2 linked regions of the Elephas maximus indicus genome follow. The main gene of each other region encodes a partner of the protein of the gene in region 2 in a complex. Links are inferred from orthologs where the notes say so. Each region holds a gene or a part of one and is shown on either strand. Other genes may lie near its edges.

The links. The genes of interacting proteins can lie anywhere in the genome.
Region 1: the proteins of GIPR (region 2) and GIP are in contact, whole or in part, in a cryo-EM structure (PDB 7RA3), measured with the Homo sapiens proteins. The link is inferred for Elephas maximus indicus from reciprocal best matches to the Homo sapiens genes GIPR and GIP. Residues at the interface, in NP_000155.1 of Homo sapiens: Gln30, Thr31, Ala32, Leu35, Tyr36, Trp39, Tyr68, Trp71, Leu88, Trp90, Arg101, Arg113, His115, Asn120, Gln130, Arg131, Leu134, Glu135, Leu137, Gln138, Tyr141, Tyr145, Arg183, Ile187, Arg190, Asp191, Pro197, Gly198, Pro199, Tyr200; in NP_004114.1 of Homo sapiens: Tyr52, Ala53, Glu54, Gly55, Thr56, Phe57, Ile58, Ser59, Asp60, Tyr61, Ser62, Ile63, Ala64, Met65, Asp66, Lys67, Ile68, His69, Gln70, Gln71, Phe73, Val74, Trp76, Leu77, Leu78, Lys81.

Annotation. Positions count from the first base shown.
Region 1 is NC_064837.1:44,609,710-44,617,501, forward strand, and holds the start of GIP (gastric inhibitory polypeptide), read left to right. Parts: upstream 1-4,750; coding exon 4,751-4,836; intron 4,837-6,130; coding exon 6,131-6,277; intron 6,278-7,059; coding exon 7,060-7,149; intron 7,150-7,792. UniProt on the Homo sapiens protein: Potent stimulator of insulin secretion and relatively poor inhibitor of gastric acid secretion.
Region 2 is NC_064829.1:103,973,753-103,980,776, reverse strand, and holds the start of GIPR (gastric inhibitory polypeptide receptor), read left to right. Parts: upstream 1-4,016; 5' UTR 4,017-4,054; intron 4,055-5,980; 5' UTR 5,981-6,124; intron 6,125-7,024. UniProt on the Homo sapiens protein: This is a receptor for GIP. The activity of this receptor is mediated by G proteins which activate adenylyl cyclase.

The DNA of each region.
Region 1 (7,792 bases), on a different chromosome or scaffold from region 2:
GCTCCTAATATGGAATTACATGGCTTTCCATGTCCCAGCTGCTGGACTAAGTCAGTCCAGATTTATTACCTCATCTTTTTTAATTCTCACTATAGAGTGAAGACGAGTGTCTGTGTGGTGCAAACATTAAACACTCAACTGCTAACTGAAAGGTTGTTGGTTCAAAACCACCCAGAGGTGCTTCGGAAGGCAGGGTTGGTGATCTGCTTCTGAAAAGCCACACAGTCTTGAAAACCCTATGGAGCAATTCTGCTCTGCACACATGGAGTCACTATGAATCTCAACTTTTTTTTTTTTTTTTTACTAGAGTAAGACAGGGGAGGTCATTCTAGAAAATACTACCAGTCAACACTTGCAGGATGCCTTCAAGTTAATAAACACTAACTTTGCACTTACCTATGAATCAGGGCAGGTTTTGTTGTCTTAGGACTCTGGAAACTGCTCCATCCTTCATAAGCCCATGCAAAGATAAGGCAAAGAAGAAATCCCTCCCTTTTTACCCCTTCCTATCTTCCCCTGGGATGGTGTTCCCACCAGGGAGACCGAGGGGCTCAGGAATGCTGCTCTCTCTGGGAGGTCCAGCCCTTTGGTCTTTTATCCTAAATGCACAAGGAATTCCTTCCCTCTTTTTAGCAGGGCTCCCTGGGAAGTGACAACCCTGTTCTAACCCCTTCCCAGTTCTAACTCTTCACTGCAATCTTCCTCCCATGGATTAGGCTTACTAGTAGCTTGAGGTATTTTCCTGACAAACAAAAGCAGTCAATGTAGACTTTTATAATAGCAAGAGGGATTGCAGTTAGAACTAAGAGGGGACTTCTAAACAGAAACCTTGTAGCAGATAGCCAGCCAAAGGTGTAGGTAGTATATATATTCTTTCTTTGAAGATCTTTCTGGAAAGTATATATCTTGACCTGCGTGGTGCTGGAGGGTGATATGGACAAAAATGTTTGGAATTGGGACTGTTTGTTATGTGATTGGGAAAGAAAACTGGAGGTATTCTTTCTAGGAATCAGGATGGACCAGATGACAGCAATGTTTGTCAAGCATCATGCCCCCTTTTGTCTCCTTTACAAGAGGGCAAGGAGAATAAATCTCCCACCTTGTGTAAGAGGGGTTAGAGAGGGACGTCTACTTTCTGAGTCAGCCAGTGAGGTTGAAGACCAAGTGGACTTCAAAAGCGGAGTCCATGGTGGGGAGGCTGCAGCCAGTCCTCTGAGTCACCCTGGCCTGGCTGCCAAGCCCACCCTGGAATGTCTCCTGTGGACCTGCAGGGCCCTGGAAGGGGGAGGGGAGGAGATGAGTCACTGTGAACTGGAATGCTCTTCTGCTAGTCCAGTTCTCATTCCTGGGTCCCTGACTCAGTACCCAGGAGGGGCTGGAAGAGTACCCTGGGTTCTCTTGCAACAGGACTGCACATCACTCCCTGCCCACACTTTACCCTCTGATTCCCTGACTTCCATGCCTCCTCAGACACCCCAACCCTGCACACTCTCTACCTGTCTGGTCCCTCAGCCTTTGTATCTGGGCTTTAGACCTGTCGGGGCTTCCTCCTGCCTCCCCATCCCCAGTGTCCTCTCCAATCCTCAGATCCTGGAAATTCCGTGAAGCGGAACTGGAGCCCGGTGGCATGTCTCATCATGGCTTGGACAGGCTGAGTGGGCTGTCAGTTGGATTTATTAACTCTTTTGACCAAGTCCAGCAGGTCTTTCTAACCCTCAGAAGCTTCCCAAGGTCTTTTTTCCATTCCCTTGCCTTCCAACATGCATGCCCTGAGGGGAAGGGAAGGGTCGTGGGCACCCCTGAGAATGTGGCTTCTCTGATATTCTCCCCTGGATCTCCCCACACTGCTCCATTGATCCCGGGGTGTGTAGAACTTGCAGACTTGAACAGGAACTTTGGGCTAAGCGGCCATTCTCACATCCCTTCCCCCAGCCACCCCTGCCCCTCCCCCAGGCGCATTCTTCTCTTGTGTGTCCTCAGCAGGGCATGAGGGCCAAAGGTCAAAGGATAACTGGAAGTGGGGGGTGCTGCAGAAAAGTCCCCTGCAAGAAGGGGTGGAGTAGGGGCTTCAAACACGACTGGCCTTCAGAGCAGCCCATCCCCCGGAACAAATCCACAGGTTACCAGGGCAAGGGCTCAGAGCTGCTGCGACTCATCTCAGAACCTTCCTTGAAGGTTCTGGCATCACCAGAAGGTTCTGGTTTGGCATCACTTAGGGGTTCCAAGGAACTCTGTCCACTTCTTTTTGGATATCTTCTGCCTCTAGGCACGGATGGATGCCCAGGTTGGGGGGCTGAAGACTTTTGACACAAACTCTCTGAGCCCATGAACCTGTGTTGCTCAACAGGAAGCAGGATCCCAGCAGCCCCACCTCCCCTTTGGAGATCAAATCTGAATTGATGTCTCAGCTCTGCCCCGTTTGTAGCTGGGATACGGAATTTAGAGAGCTTGCCCAGGGAGAAATTTTTCTGGATGGAGAGAAATGGGTGGATAGGTGGGAGGAGGTTTCTAGGAAGCAGAGGTGAGTTACCCTCCTAGTCCAGTTACCTCTTATCCCACACAGGCACTTAATTTCATGCTGGATCTGCTCCCAGGCTGGGGAGTTCACCTGGAAGGGAAAGTGGCAGGTATTAAGCCCTAGAGCTAATAGGCAGGGCATGAGCTCAGTTGTTCATGGTTCAGTGGTACCCATTGTGAGTGGAGAAGGGTGGGCTGCCAAACATGCAGTCTATGTCCTGTCCCTCCTAGACGGATAGCCTCTGTGGACGGAGCCATGTGGTAAGTACTTGGGCAAAGGCAACGGGAGTACCTCGGGAAGTCTTCAGTCTGAGAGGGGAGATCCAGCCCTTAGCCTTAGGAAGCCCCAGGGTGATGCGGAGAATATAACCCTGGCTGACATCGCTGCCCTCAGAGAGCCCCCAGTCTGATCAAGGAGATATAACTTCTGTCTTGGAGAGCCCACCAATCTGATAGTGAGGTACAGTACCACCTCACCTCAGGGGTCCCCAGTATGATGGAGGAGACAGGACCACATACTTTCCTCATATAGAAGAGCAGGGCGTTTAAGGAGGAATTGAGTCTTAAAAATCTTATCTTTACCGATAGGTCAAGTAGCTGCCTCCATCTTTCTCCAAGTTCTCAAGGTATGAATGTGCCTGTTCTCTATTCTGTCCTGCCCAAAGCAGGAAGACAGCTTGAGTATAAGTTCTCAGTTCACCCATCTACCACCAGAAAACCCCCAGCTTTCATGTTCCCTTGACCTCTGTCCTCTGATTCTCCGGTTCCTTTTCCCAGCCACCTAGGACCTTGCCCCAGATGGAGACATTGCTACAATGCCAAACCCACGGGCCCTTGTCCAGACCCAGGGCTCAGACTACTGTGGCCCCACTTCTTCCCACCCAGAAGTAGACTTACTAACTTGTAGGAGTGCCCCCCAGCTAGTGCCCACTCCACCCCAAGCCAGCCCTCAGCAAGTAAGCCCTTTCTAACTAAGGGCATCTATAAATGAAGTGGGGGGCGGGGGGTGGGGGTGTGTGTGTACTGGGCCCTGTGCCCAGAACGGAGGAGAGGGAAGGAGTAAGGGAGCACTTAGGGTACCCTACTCCTGGGCAGGCCGCAGACAGCAGTTGGAGATACCCAAAATGTTAATCACCAATTAGTGCAGTTCAGGTGGAAAGGACAACTTTATTATGTGTAAAATGGACTTAATGTGGCAGGAGCTGTGGGTTTAATTTCTTGAGATAAGATGCTTTTAGGCTAATCAGCTGGTCTCGGATGCCTGGATATAAAAGAGCTGAAGTAGGCTTTCTTGACGCAGCTCTAAAGAGCCAGAAGGTAGGAGGAAGAGACCCTCGCCCTTTCCTTCTCCTGGAAGAGCCAGAAAGGAAGTCTGGTAAGAGAAAACCTGGGAGAGGGGATGGATCGGATGACCTGGAGAGGAGGTGGAGGGGGACCTTGGTAACCCTGAGATGCTCAGCCTCCTAACATTTCACTTTCTCTTCCTCTGTATAAGAAATAAGAAGTTCTCTTTGATGGTTTCTTTAACATTCAGGTAGCCAAGGCGGGAAGATGGGGTCCTGCAGCTCACAAATCTCTAAGTCTAGCTTAGGAGGGAAGTTCTCCATTGTACTTTATCTCTACTGAAAACCCATGGATGAAATGGGTCAAGCCCAAGGTGGGAAGGTATAGCTCAGACTGCAGGAAGAACAACCCTGATGGTTAAGCCTGAGAAGGGGAGACTGGGATGATTCTATGTGTAGTTTTCATTTAGGGCAAGAGGGTTACAGTGATTTAAACGGCAGCCAATTTGAGAGTAGGAAGGCTGGTTGATACGAACCTCGAAGGGCTCTAAGGAGATAATCTTGCCAAACCACATGCCTATGAAGTTCAGTCCCAGAGCCAGGGACAGAGGGGAGGCAGAGTGCCCAAGCACACAGGTCTTCACTGCTTTATCCTCCCTGGATCTCTCCCTCATTGCCCTTTTCCCACCCCACTCAGACCCTATCTATAAACAAAAAAGCAAACGCCCCTCTTGGCCAGGCTTCAAGTCCTTTCTAGTCATTAACCCAAATGCCCAACACCCGCCACCCTCCCAAGGTGTTGCTTCAGTCTGTTAGAAAAGCTCCAAACCCCAGGACTCAGCCCCTCCCCAGCTTTCAGAACCATCTTTATACAAGCTGCTCCCTCAGCACAGCACTGTCTGCCTTATCTTGGTCCTTTTGTCTTCAGCTCAGGATATAATCCTTGGAAGATGGTGACCATGAAGATCTTGTCTCTGCTGCTAGTATCCCTGCTCGTGGCAGTGGTGCTAGGGGAGAAGGAGAAGGGTCACTCCAGGTAGGGGTGATGGGAAGGGAGGGATCAACAGCAGAGGAGGGGGCTGGGGGATGACTGGGTTCTAGGCTCTGTTGAGTGAGAGAGAGAGAGAAGAAGGGATCCCAGGCCAAGAGGAAAGAGACTCAAGGGAAAGATTTTCAGCAGTCTAAGTGCAGAGTGAGACCAGAACCAGAGGGTTTTATGAGCTACTGTGGTAGCAGGAGAGACTGGTTAAATATCTGAAAGGATTTCTTGGTGGTTAAGGGTCTGAAGAAGATGACAAAATCTCCCTTCCTAGGGAATGCTTTAAGCATTTCTTTTTGCATGTACTCAATATAATTTTACAGAGGGCCTCCTGTGGGCTAGGCACAGGAGATCTATGTCAATGAGAGTCCACAAATGGCTCCTGTCCTCATGGGGCATATAGATCCAAGAGGGAACAAAGAACCACAGAGGCATGTTGCAAAATATCATGAGTCCTATTAAAAAAAAAAAAAAAAAAAAAAAAATTTTTTTTTTTTTTTTTTTTAATGAAGACAAGTAGAGAGTATTATGAGTGAATACAGCAGGGGGCTCTGATGGTGGTTTCAGGGACCAAGGGAGACATGTCTGAGGAAAGAGATGGACCTTCTGCAAGAACAAACGATACACGCATGTAAATTTCAGGCACAGGCTGTCAGGGATGTGTACACGGATAGGCAGCATCACCCAGATGTTAAGAATTTAGACCTGAGGCCATACTGCTTGGGGGTAAATCCTGGATCTGTCACTTATGCTCTAAGATATATTTATCTCTCTGCATCTTGGTTTCTTCATTTATAAAGTGGGGATAATAAGTAGTATCTACCATATAAGGGTGCTGTGAAGACTAAATGAGTTTATGTATTAGAGGGCTAATAAGAGTTCCTGACTCATGGCAAGTGCTGTCTTATAAGAGTTCACTATTTTTGTGACGGAAAGAAAACCAAAGAATGGAATCAGGAAGGTCCAGGGCAAGAGGAGTAAAGGGAGGAACTGTGTGAGTCAGTCCTTTGAAATGAGAGGAACCCACATCCCCCTTGGCCCAGAATCCAGAGGCATACCCACTCAGGATGCAGGAGGATGGACCCTTGAGCCTCAGATCAAATCCCCAGGGGGTTGATGGAGTGACAACAGGAGTCTCCAAATTAACCAGCTCCCAAGAAATGGGCTGGTTTGCTTTCAAATGCCTGCTTCCTGTTAGCAACAACTTTTTACCCAGCATTGTGATTTTCCCCCTCTCTGCTACTACTCTGGCATCCTGATCTTCCCTCTCTCTCCCTTCCCTGTCTCTCAGACCCCACCCTAAGGTCAGCAGCCCTCAACCTCGAGGCCCGAGATATGCTGAGGGGACTTTCATCAGTGACTACAGCATTGCCATGGACAAGATCCGCCAACAAGACTTTGTGAACTGGCTGCTGGCCCAGAAGGGGAAGAAGAATGAGTGAGTCCTTGTGCTCACCCTCTCCTGTTCCACATTCCCAGGGCTCTACCTTCCTATGTTCAGACCAGGCTACCATACATGGCCACATGGGGGTGGAATGCACCACTCCAGGTTGCATCTTTCACTTAGACAATGACGAGGAGTTGTCTTGGCCATGGTGGCCCTGGCCAGATCTTGACTGGGGCAGCAGGCCAGTCTGGGGGCAGAAGTAGGGTGATTTCTAATTCTTCTAAAGGAGTCCCTGGGTAGTATAAATGGTTGCTAACCAAAAGGTTGGAGGTTTGAGTCCACCCAGAGGCACCTCAGAAGAAAATCCTGGCAATCTACTTCAGAAAAATCAGCCACTGAAAACCCTATGGAGCACAGTTCTACTCTGACACACATGGGGCTGCTACGGGTTGGACTCCACTCCACTGCAACTAGTTTTTGGTTTTACTTCTAAAGAGGTGTCAGGTAGATGTGTGGGAGAACACAGAGGATCCCCAGGGGGGTGGGGATGAAGGCAGGAGGAACTGAGCTGCTTCCAATGACTTTTTGGTGGTGGCAACTTCAGATTTTAGAAATGGGATAACTGCCCCCTTCTTCATTCTCTTTGCTGTATCTCTTTCCCTGTTTGGTCAGCGTGGTAGATTCTGAAAAGCTGTTCACTGGCGGGGGCAGCTAAAGGCAAGGAGTGCAGTGCCCTTCTCCTAAGGTTGAGGTACAAAAAGATTCAGGAGTCCCTGGACTAGAGAAGGCCTGGAATCTCAGCCCCATCTACTCCCTAATCTTTATCCTACCAGCTGGAAACACAACATCACCCAGAGGGAGGCCCGGGCCCTAGAGCTGGCCGTTCAATCTAACAGGAATGAGGAGGCAAGGGAGAAGCAGAGGTGAGTTGGGGGAAAAGGGGTGGGAAGGGGCCTCCTGACTTCTGACCTGCCCCTACTTCATTGTTGCCTGTCCTGGACTCCAGGGCAGAGCAAGGGCCTGTGATAAGCAACCCCTTCCAGTCAAGAGTTCAAAGAGGGGGCTTCACTGAGCAAACTTCTGGAGGTCAACCCAGGCTTAAAGAAGCAGCCTCGGAGGGGTGGGGGAGGGGCTTTGGGAGGGGCTTCTGGGCCAGGGTTTCTAAGATTGATGACTTTGTATGTAGACAGGGTCACTGAGTCAAGAGAGAGACAGTGAAGGAGTGGTGCTCAGGAAGTGGCCTCCCCACTTCTCCCTGACAAACCTCAGGAAGGCTGTTTGTGGAAGAGGGAGACCATCCCAAAGACAGTTCCCTGAAATCAGTTACTCCCTCTCTGAGGAAAGGGAGGAATTTGTGGCACAAATCATTCTAAAGAGTGAATGTTCCCAGAGTAATCTTTCAGGTGTGGGGAATGCACTCTGGAATATTTTTCAAGGTGGATGAGTGGGCTTTCTCACACCAGAATTCTGTTTGGCTTTACCTGTATTGAAAAGCCCACCTTCCCCGGTAGAGATGGATTGCCCAATAAGCCAGGTAAGCATGTGCTTAGGGCATCAGCAAAACAG
Region 2 (7,024 bases):
GGCTTTAACGAACAGAAATTTATTCTCTGACAATCTTGGAGGCTAAAAGTTTGAATTCAGGATGCCAGTTCCAGGGGAAGGTCTTTCTCTGTTGATTGTGGGGGAAGGTCCTTGTCATCAATGTTCTCCAGGACTAAGAGTTTCTCAGTGCAGGGACCCTGGGTTCAAAGAACATACTATTCTCCTGACTCTTCTTCCTTGGTGGTATGAGGTCCCCTGTCTCTCTGCTCACTTCTGTCTTTAATATCTCAAAAGAAATTGACTCAACATACAACCTAATCCTATAGATTGAGTCCTGCCTCATTAACATCATAGAGGTAGGGTTTATAACACATAGGAAAATCACATCAGATGACAAAATGGTGGGCAATCACACAATACTGGGAATCATGGCCTAGCCAAGTTGACACACATTTTTAGGGGACATGATTCAATTCATAACAACCACCCAGGGATTTTTTTTACAGGTACAAGTGTTAGGATTTCAGCACTTGTGGGACACAGTTCAGTCCAAAACAGTAGAGGGGAGGGACAGGGTCAGGTTTATGCTTTAGGAAGACCCCTTTGTCTGCCTGTGCAGGGGGGTAGCTGGGAGGGAGAGAGGCGGGACTGGGGCAGGACACTAGGGGAGAGGAGGGTCCTGGATCAGAGCATGGGTTAGAGGAGGGGGAAGGAGGTGCCATATTCAAGAAACCTGGAGGAGACTGCTGCTTAAACCAGCCTGCCCTCCAGGACGCTCCAGGACGCCAGGAAAGGGGCCCTCAGGGCTCGCCCACCACCACCAGGGGGCAGCCAGGGACCTTCTGGGCTCTAAACTCTCAGCCGCTCCTTCCAGGATGGGGATATTTGCACTGGGGTTTGGAGACCCGGGAAGGCGGGAGGTGTTTGTGGAGCCCCAGCTGGGAGCCTCCCTGCTGTCCTACCCCCCACCCTGGCCTCTGGCTCCCCAGAGCCCCCATCCCGCCTCACCCAGCAAGAGATTTAGTCAACACAGCCCGGCTGCTTCTGGCAGGAAAATATTTGCCCTCAGGATCTGAGGTGGTCGCTATGGAGACATGCTCCCGCCAGGCCCAGAGAGGGTGAGAGGAGCCTTGGTCTCTTCTCTGTCTGTGTCTTTGAGAGGGTTTACCCCTACGTTTAGGTGGAAAGTTTACTCCCCTCTCCCCAACCCTCTGGACTCCAAGTAGCCCCCCCTCTCTCTGAGTCTTTTTCTCTTTGAGATTCTGTCCCTCTGTCTGTATTTCTTTACGGGTCCCTGTCTATCTGTGCCATCTCTTCATCTCTGTCTCTGTATCTCTCTCTCTGGATGCCTGTCTCTGAGTCTCTGTCTTGCTTCTTACTCTCTGGGTTCCATCTCTGTGCTTCTGTCTCTTCATGTCTCTGGGTCCCTGCCTCTCTCAGGGTTCATGTCTCTGGGTCTCAGTCTGTCTTTGGGTCTCTGCCTGTCTGTCTCTCTCTCTGGATCCCCACAGTTTTAGGTTTGTCTCTCTAGGATCTCTGAATCTGTGTCTATTTCTGTCTTTGGGTTCTTCTCTCACTCTTTCACTGCAATCTTCTCTCTCTGTGTGTCTGTCTGCACCCCTGTCTCTGGAGTGCTGTCTCTCTCTGGGTCTCTGTCTCTCTCTGGACCCCATGTCTGTCACTGTTTCTCAGTCTCCATCTTCTACTTCTTCTCTCTATCTCTCTGCCTCTCCTCTGTCTCTTTCTGTCTTTGTGTGTCTCTCTTGGGGGTCTCAGTCTTTCAGACAGCATCTCTCTGCAACCCTGAATCTCAGGGGACCATCTCAGCCCCCCACTTCTGGTCTTAGTCGCCATGGGTTGTCCCCTCTCCCCATCTCTCTCTGCCTCATTTCTCTGCACCATCTGCCAGCGCTCCAGGCCCCCGCCTGCTCCCCACAGGCCCTGCTTGGCCAGGCAGCCCCATGGGGGAGGCCAAGGCCCTCCAGCTCCTTCCCAGTCTCTGCTTCCCGCATCCTGCGGGGGTGGAGGGGGGGACAATATTAGGAATAAGGTACCTAAGGCCTGGTCATTGGTAGGGGGTGGGGGAGGAGAACAAGAGCTGGAGGGAGAGAAAAAGACAGACAGACAGGCATCAAGAAAGCAGAGTGGAAAAGAGGATGAGAGAAAGGAGAAATCTTGAAGATGAGCAAAAAGAGACTATTCTGGAGAGAAAGACCAATAGAAATGAGCAAAGAGGAAGAATGACACTGAGAGAAACCAGAAGAGAAGAGAAATGACAGACAGACAGGAGAGAAAGACAGGGGCAAGCTGAGTGTGGAGTCAGAAAAAAGAAGGAAGGAGAGAGTCACACTAAAGGAAGAGAGAGGGTGGAGTGAAGCAAGAAAGACAACAGAGAGAGAAAAGGAGGGAGGGGGGAGTAGATCGCCGGGTCTTTCTTTCAAGGCTCCTCTGGGTGGACTCAAACCTCCAATCTTTTAGTTAGCAGCTGAGCATGTTAACCATTTGCACCACCTAGGGATTCCAGAGACAGGAATAGAAAAGGAAAATGGAGATTGATAGGGGAGAGTGTTGAAAGGCATGGAGAAGGGGCTCCTCTCTTTCTGGGTCCTCTGGGGTCTAGGGGTGCACATGGCTGCCTGCGAGGGGTTGGGTGATGGGGGGCGTGGCTTCTCTGCCCAGTCCCAGGGCAGAAAAAGTTCCAGAAGCCCTGAGCTTGGGAGCCAGAGAGGGCTTGTGGCCACCCCTGGTGCCCTGCAGAGAGATGTAGCCTGAAGGGCAAAGACCCAGAGGACCCCAGGGGGGCTGGGCTGGGCTGTGCAGGGGGGCTGGGCTGCGCAGGGGGGCTGGGCTGTGCAGGGGGGCTGGGCTGTGCAGGGGGGCTGGGCTGTGCAGGGGGGCTGCGCAGGGACCCAGGCATCTACCTGTACCCACCTCCTCCTCCTGTACTCCATGCTCACTCCCCACTGGGTCCTGTGTTTTCCTCAAGGGGTGATGAGGTGGGGTGGACAGCTGAGGATGGAGCAGGAGTGGAGGGCTGATGATGGAGGGGGTGAGGAAATCTGCACTACAGCAGCCTGAGGCCACCCCGTTCGTCTCCCGGTCTCCTGATCTTGGTCATCTCTGTCCTCAGGACCTGGTCTTTCTGGCGCTCTCACCCATCCCATCACTGTCTCTCCCGATATCTTGATCATTCAGTTTGTGTCTTCTCTTGGTCCCTGCTTTCTCTCCCTTGGTTTGTCTTTCTCTTGGTCTCTTTCTCCACCCTTCTCTTGATTTCTCTGTCTTTCCCTGTTGTCTTTGTCTCTATCTCTTGATCTGTTTCTCTCTTTCTCTTGGTCTCTCTCATTTTCTCTATCTCTTTCTGTCTTCCTCTCTCTCCCCCTCTGGGTCTGTCTTGGCCCTTGGTTTCCTTTCCCTCTCACCACTTCAATCCCTGTCCACTGCTTCCCCTTCCTCCTTGCTTTCCCCTCCCCCTTCTCAGTCTTCCCACTCCCACCCCTACCCTAGGACCTCAGCCACCCTACCAATCCATCACTTTGCCTCTAGGCATCGCCCAGGCCCGGGTTCCTCTCCCCCAGCCCCTTCCCCCCAGCCCCAGCAGGGGGGCCAAGGAGAGACCCCACAAGCCCAGCTTCTCCCCGAGGTGCCGGGCAATCTCACACTCCCTCCCCGCTCCACTCCATGAGAGCAGCCTTTCCCAGGACCCAGAGGGCACCAGGAATGTGGGGCAGAGAGCAGGGAGGCCAGCCAGAGACCAGGAAGTGAGGGATCCCCCTGGCCCTCCCAGCCTGGCCTCCTTCCAGCCTCTGGTGCTGGTCCCCCTACCACCCCTTACTCCCTGCCCTTCTTGGGGCTGCTTCTGGGCCTCAGTTTCTCCTCTCCAAAATGGGCAGACTCGACCCTGCCCCCTTCTCTTAGATCCCAGGGGAACTCATGCTCATGAACGTTAATCACATGATTTATGTGGGACAATTGGTGGTTTGTGTCAAAGGGACGCAAGGGCGCTGAAAACGGGAACTCAGTTGCTAAGCCCTCTCCTCTCACATGAAATTTTAGGACAAAGGAAGAGACTGGAAGTAGAGGTCCTAAGAAGGTGTGTGAGTCAATAGTGACCATGACCATGGGACTGGTGAGACTAGGGGTTAGTGTATGATTGTGGGGTGGTGGGATCGTGGTGTGTGACCCTCTGTGTGACTGTGTGTGATTGTGGGGTGGTAGGATTGTGGTGTTGACCCCGTTTATGACTGTGTGTGATCGTGGGGTGGTGGGGACATGATGTGTACCCCTACTGGGTGATTGTGTGTGGCTGTCAAGTGCGAGTGGGGCTGTGATGGAAAGTTGTGTGTCTGTGTGATAGGACTTCATGAGGGAGGGTGGCAGTGTGACAGTGTCATGCTGAGAACTTGAGAGAGTGTGTGTCTTAGTGACGACTGGACCTGTGTGTAGGGGTGTGACTCTGTGAACTCTGGGGGTGATTATGCGAAGTGTGTGAGACTGTGTGAGAGTGTCAACAAGTGTGTGTGTAGGTTGTGTCACTAAAGTACCAGTGACTATACAACCGTGTGTGTTTATTGCACCAATAGTAATTTCTGAGCCCCTGCTCTGTACTCAGACCTGTGCTGGACTATACTGGGCACTCAGCAGTGACCAAGATGCCTGGCTCTGCCCTCGTGGGCACATGGGCCATTGGGAGAGATGGATGGTGATTGTAATGTGACTAGTGATTGTGTGGACACGTGTGCATGACAGCATCACTGAGACTGTGAAGCTATGATTGTGTTACTGTTGGTACAGGAGTCCACTGCCCTGGGCGTGTGGCTGTGTGTCACTGTGTCAGCCTGGGGGTGAGAGACTTTGGCTCTTTGGGTGTGACCGTGGGAAGGTACACCTGGGAATGACGTGTGACTCTATGAGTAATCGTGTGAGATTCTGCAACGGTGTCTCTCTGTGGCTCAGGTGGTATATGTAAAAATGGCGTGGCAGGGGTGTCTGACCTCTCCTAACTATACCAGGGGGAAGGAGATTCAAGATCAACAGCCCAACGCTGATTCCTATGAGGCAAAGGTCAGACATACCTCCTCTCGCCAGCCCTTTTTACCAATTCTGACACCGTCTGTCCTTCCCACGGCACTCTCTACTTCTCTGCTGGGTTCGATAATTCGTTGCAATGGCCACCCAGAACTCACAGACAATACTTATGATTATGGGGTTTATTAGGGAAGTAACGAGTTACAATTCTGGTTCAGGAACACTCAGGATACAGTTCTTCCATCAGGACAGCCTCTTCTCAGCCGTGCCCAAAGGCTGGTCTCGGCCTGGCCTCTGCCCTGCTTGGGCAAGTGTTACAAAGCTCTTTTAGTTCTGCTGGTAAGTGCCCAGAGGCACCCCACTCTGCCAGTAAGCCTGCCACCTAAAGGCGCTCAGCTTTCTCTTTCTGTGGGCCAGGAAGCCCAACCGCTGTCTCCTGTGGTCTCCTTCCTGTGCTGCCACCATTTCTCTGCTGCTGCTTCTCACCGTCTTTGGTGTTACAGCTCTCTCTTTAGGTCCTGGTTCCAGGAGCTTCTCAGCACAGAGATTCAGGGCCCAAAGTACACACCCCACTCCTGGCTCTTCTTTCTTGGTGGTGGTGAGATCTTCTCTTCCCCGCTCTGGGACAGCTCATTTTAAGCCTAGTGGGATGGTAAAACTGATTAACCCCTTCCTTAGGGCTCCATACACTTTATTTGCATGGTCCCATTCAACCATTGTGTGTGAATCACAAACGCTATGGCTAGAAGGTAATTCACTGTGCCACAGTATGGGTTGTGTGAGACGCTGTGTATGTGACTTCGTGGCTGTTGCTCTGTGTGTGAGTGACTGGGTGGGAGGTGTGCTGTGTGACTAGGGGGCTGTAGGTGGGCCAGTGAGAGACCGTGCATGGTGGGGGGTCCTTGGGACAGTGACAGTGTGACTGCTCTTCCACGTGACCTGGAGTGACTGTGATACTTACATGCCATGGTCCTCCTGTGCTGGATCTTAGCTGGAGCTCTCCCTCCTGTTCTGGGTCCCGCCCTGGCTCCGCCCCCTCCCACCACCCCAGGCTGCCAGCGCCTGTCACCTCTTCCAGTGCCCAGACAGGCAGTGGAGACGGCAGCAGCAGCAGCTGAAGCGGCGGCAGGAACAGGTGAGCATGAGTAGAGCTGGGGGCAGGTGAGGGCTCTCCCAGTCCTAGCCTGTTCCTTCTGCCCCCATCTCCCCCTCAAGTCTCTGGGTTTCTCTCTCTCTCTCTCTCAGCCTATACCTTTGTCTCTTTCTGTCTCTCAGTCTCTGTCTCTTGGTGTCTGTTTCCATATCTCTCAATCTGTTTAGCCTCCAGAAGGCTTTGCTTCTGTATCTCTGTCTCTCTTTCCCACTCTGTCTCTCTCCTTGTCTTTGTCTCCTGGTCCACATATTTGTCGCTTTCTATGTCCCTTGGTCTCTAGTCTCTAGCCGTGTCTCTCTTTCTCTGTGTGTCTCTAGTCTCTGTATTTCTGTCTGGTATGTCTCTGACTGCGTGTCTGTCTTCCAGGGGGCTCCTTCTGAGATTCTCCCTACTTTCCCCTTTCCCTTTCCCTACGTGGTGCCTGGTAGGGGGGCGGGGGATTTTGGACCAGAGGTTTCCAGGTACTGAGCCCCTGCAGATGTAAGCCAGGGTCTGACGCCTCTCTAGTCTCTAAGGATTTGGATGTTGGGAGAGGGGCTGTCCTGCCGATCCTGGGTTTTCTCCACAGCGGGGAAAGTTTTATAGGGTCAGGTTTTTCTGGGCCATTTGAAACCCCCGAGAGTGGGAACTCCGATGGGGGACTCACGCTCCACCCTAGCCTTAGCTGACGGTTGCTACTCCCTCCTCTCCAAGGCGGTCCCCAGAGTCTCTGGGTCTAGACTCCGGGTGACGCTGGCGCTTCCGCCCAGCGCAGCTCTAGGGCAACCGCCCCCTCAGCAAACACCCCCGCCCCCTGTCCACCGCCGCTGCCGGAGCAACAAACTGGAGGCGGGCCCGGCAATCGTGTGCCTCAGCCTCGGTGCCGGCCACTCCTCGCGCCCC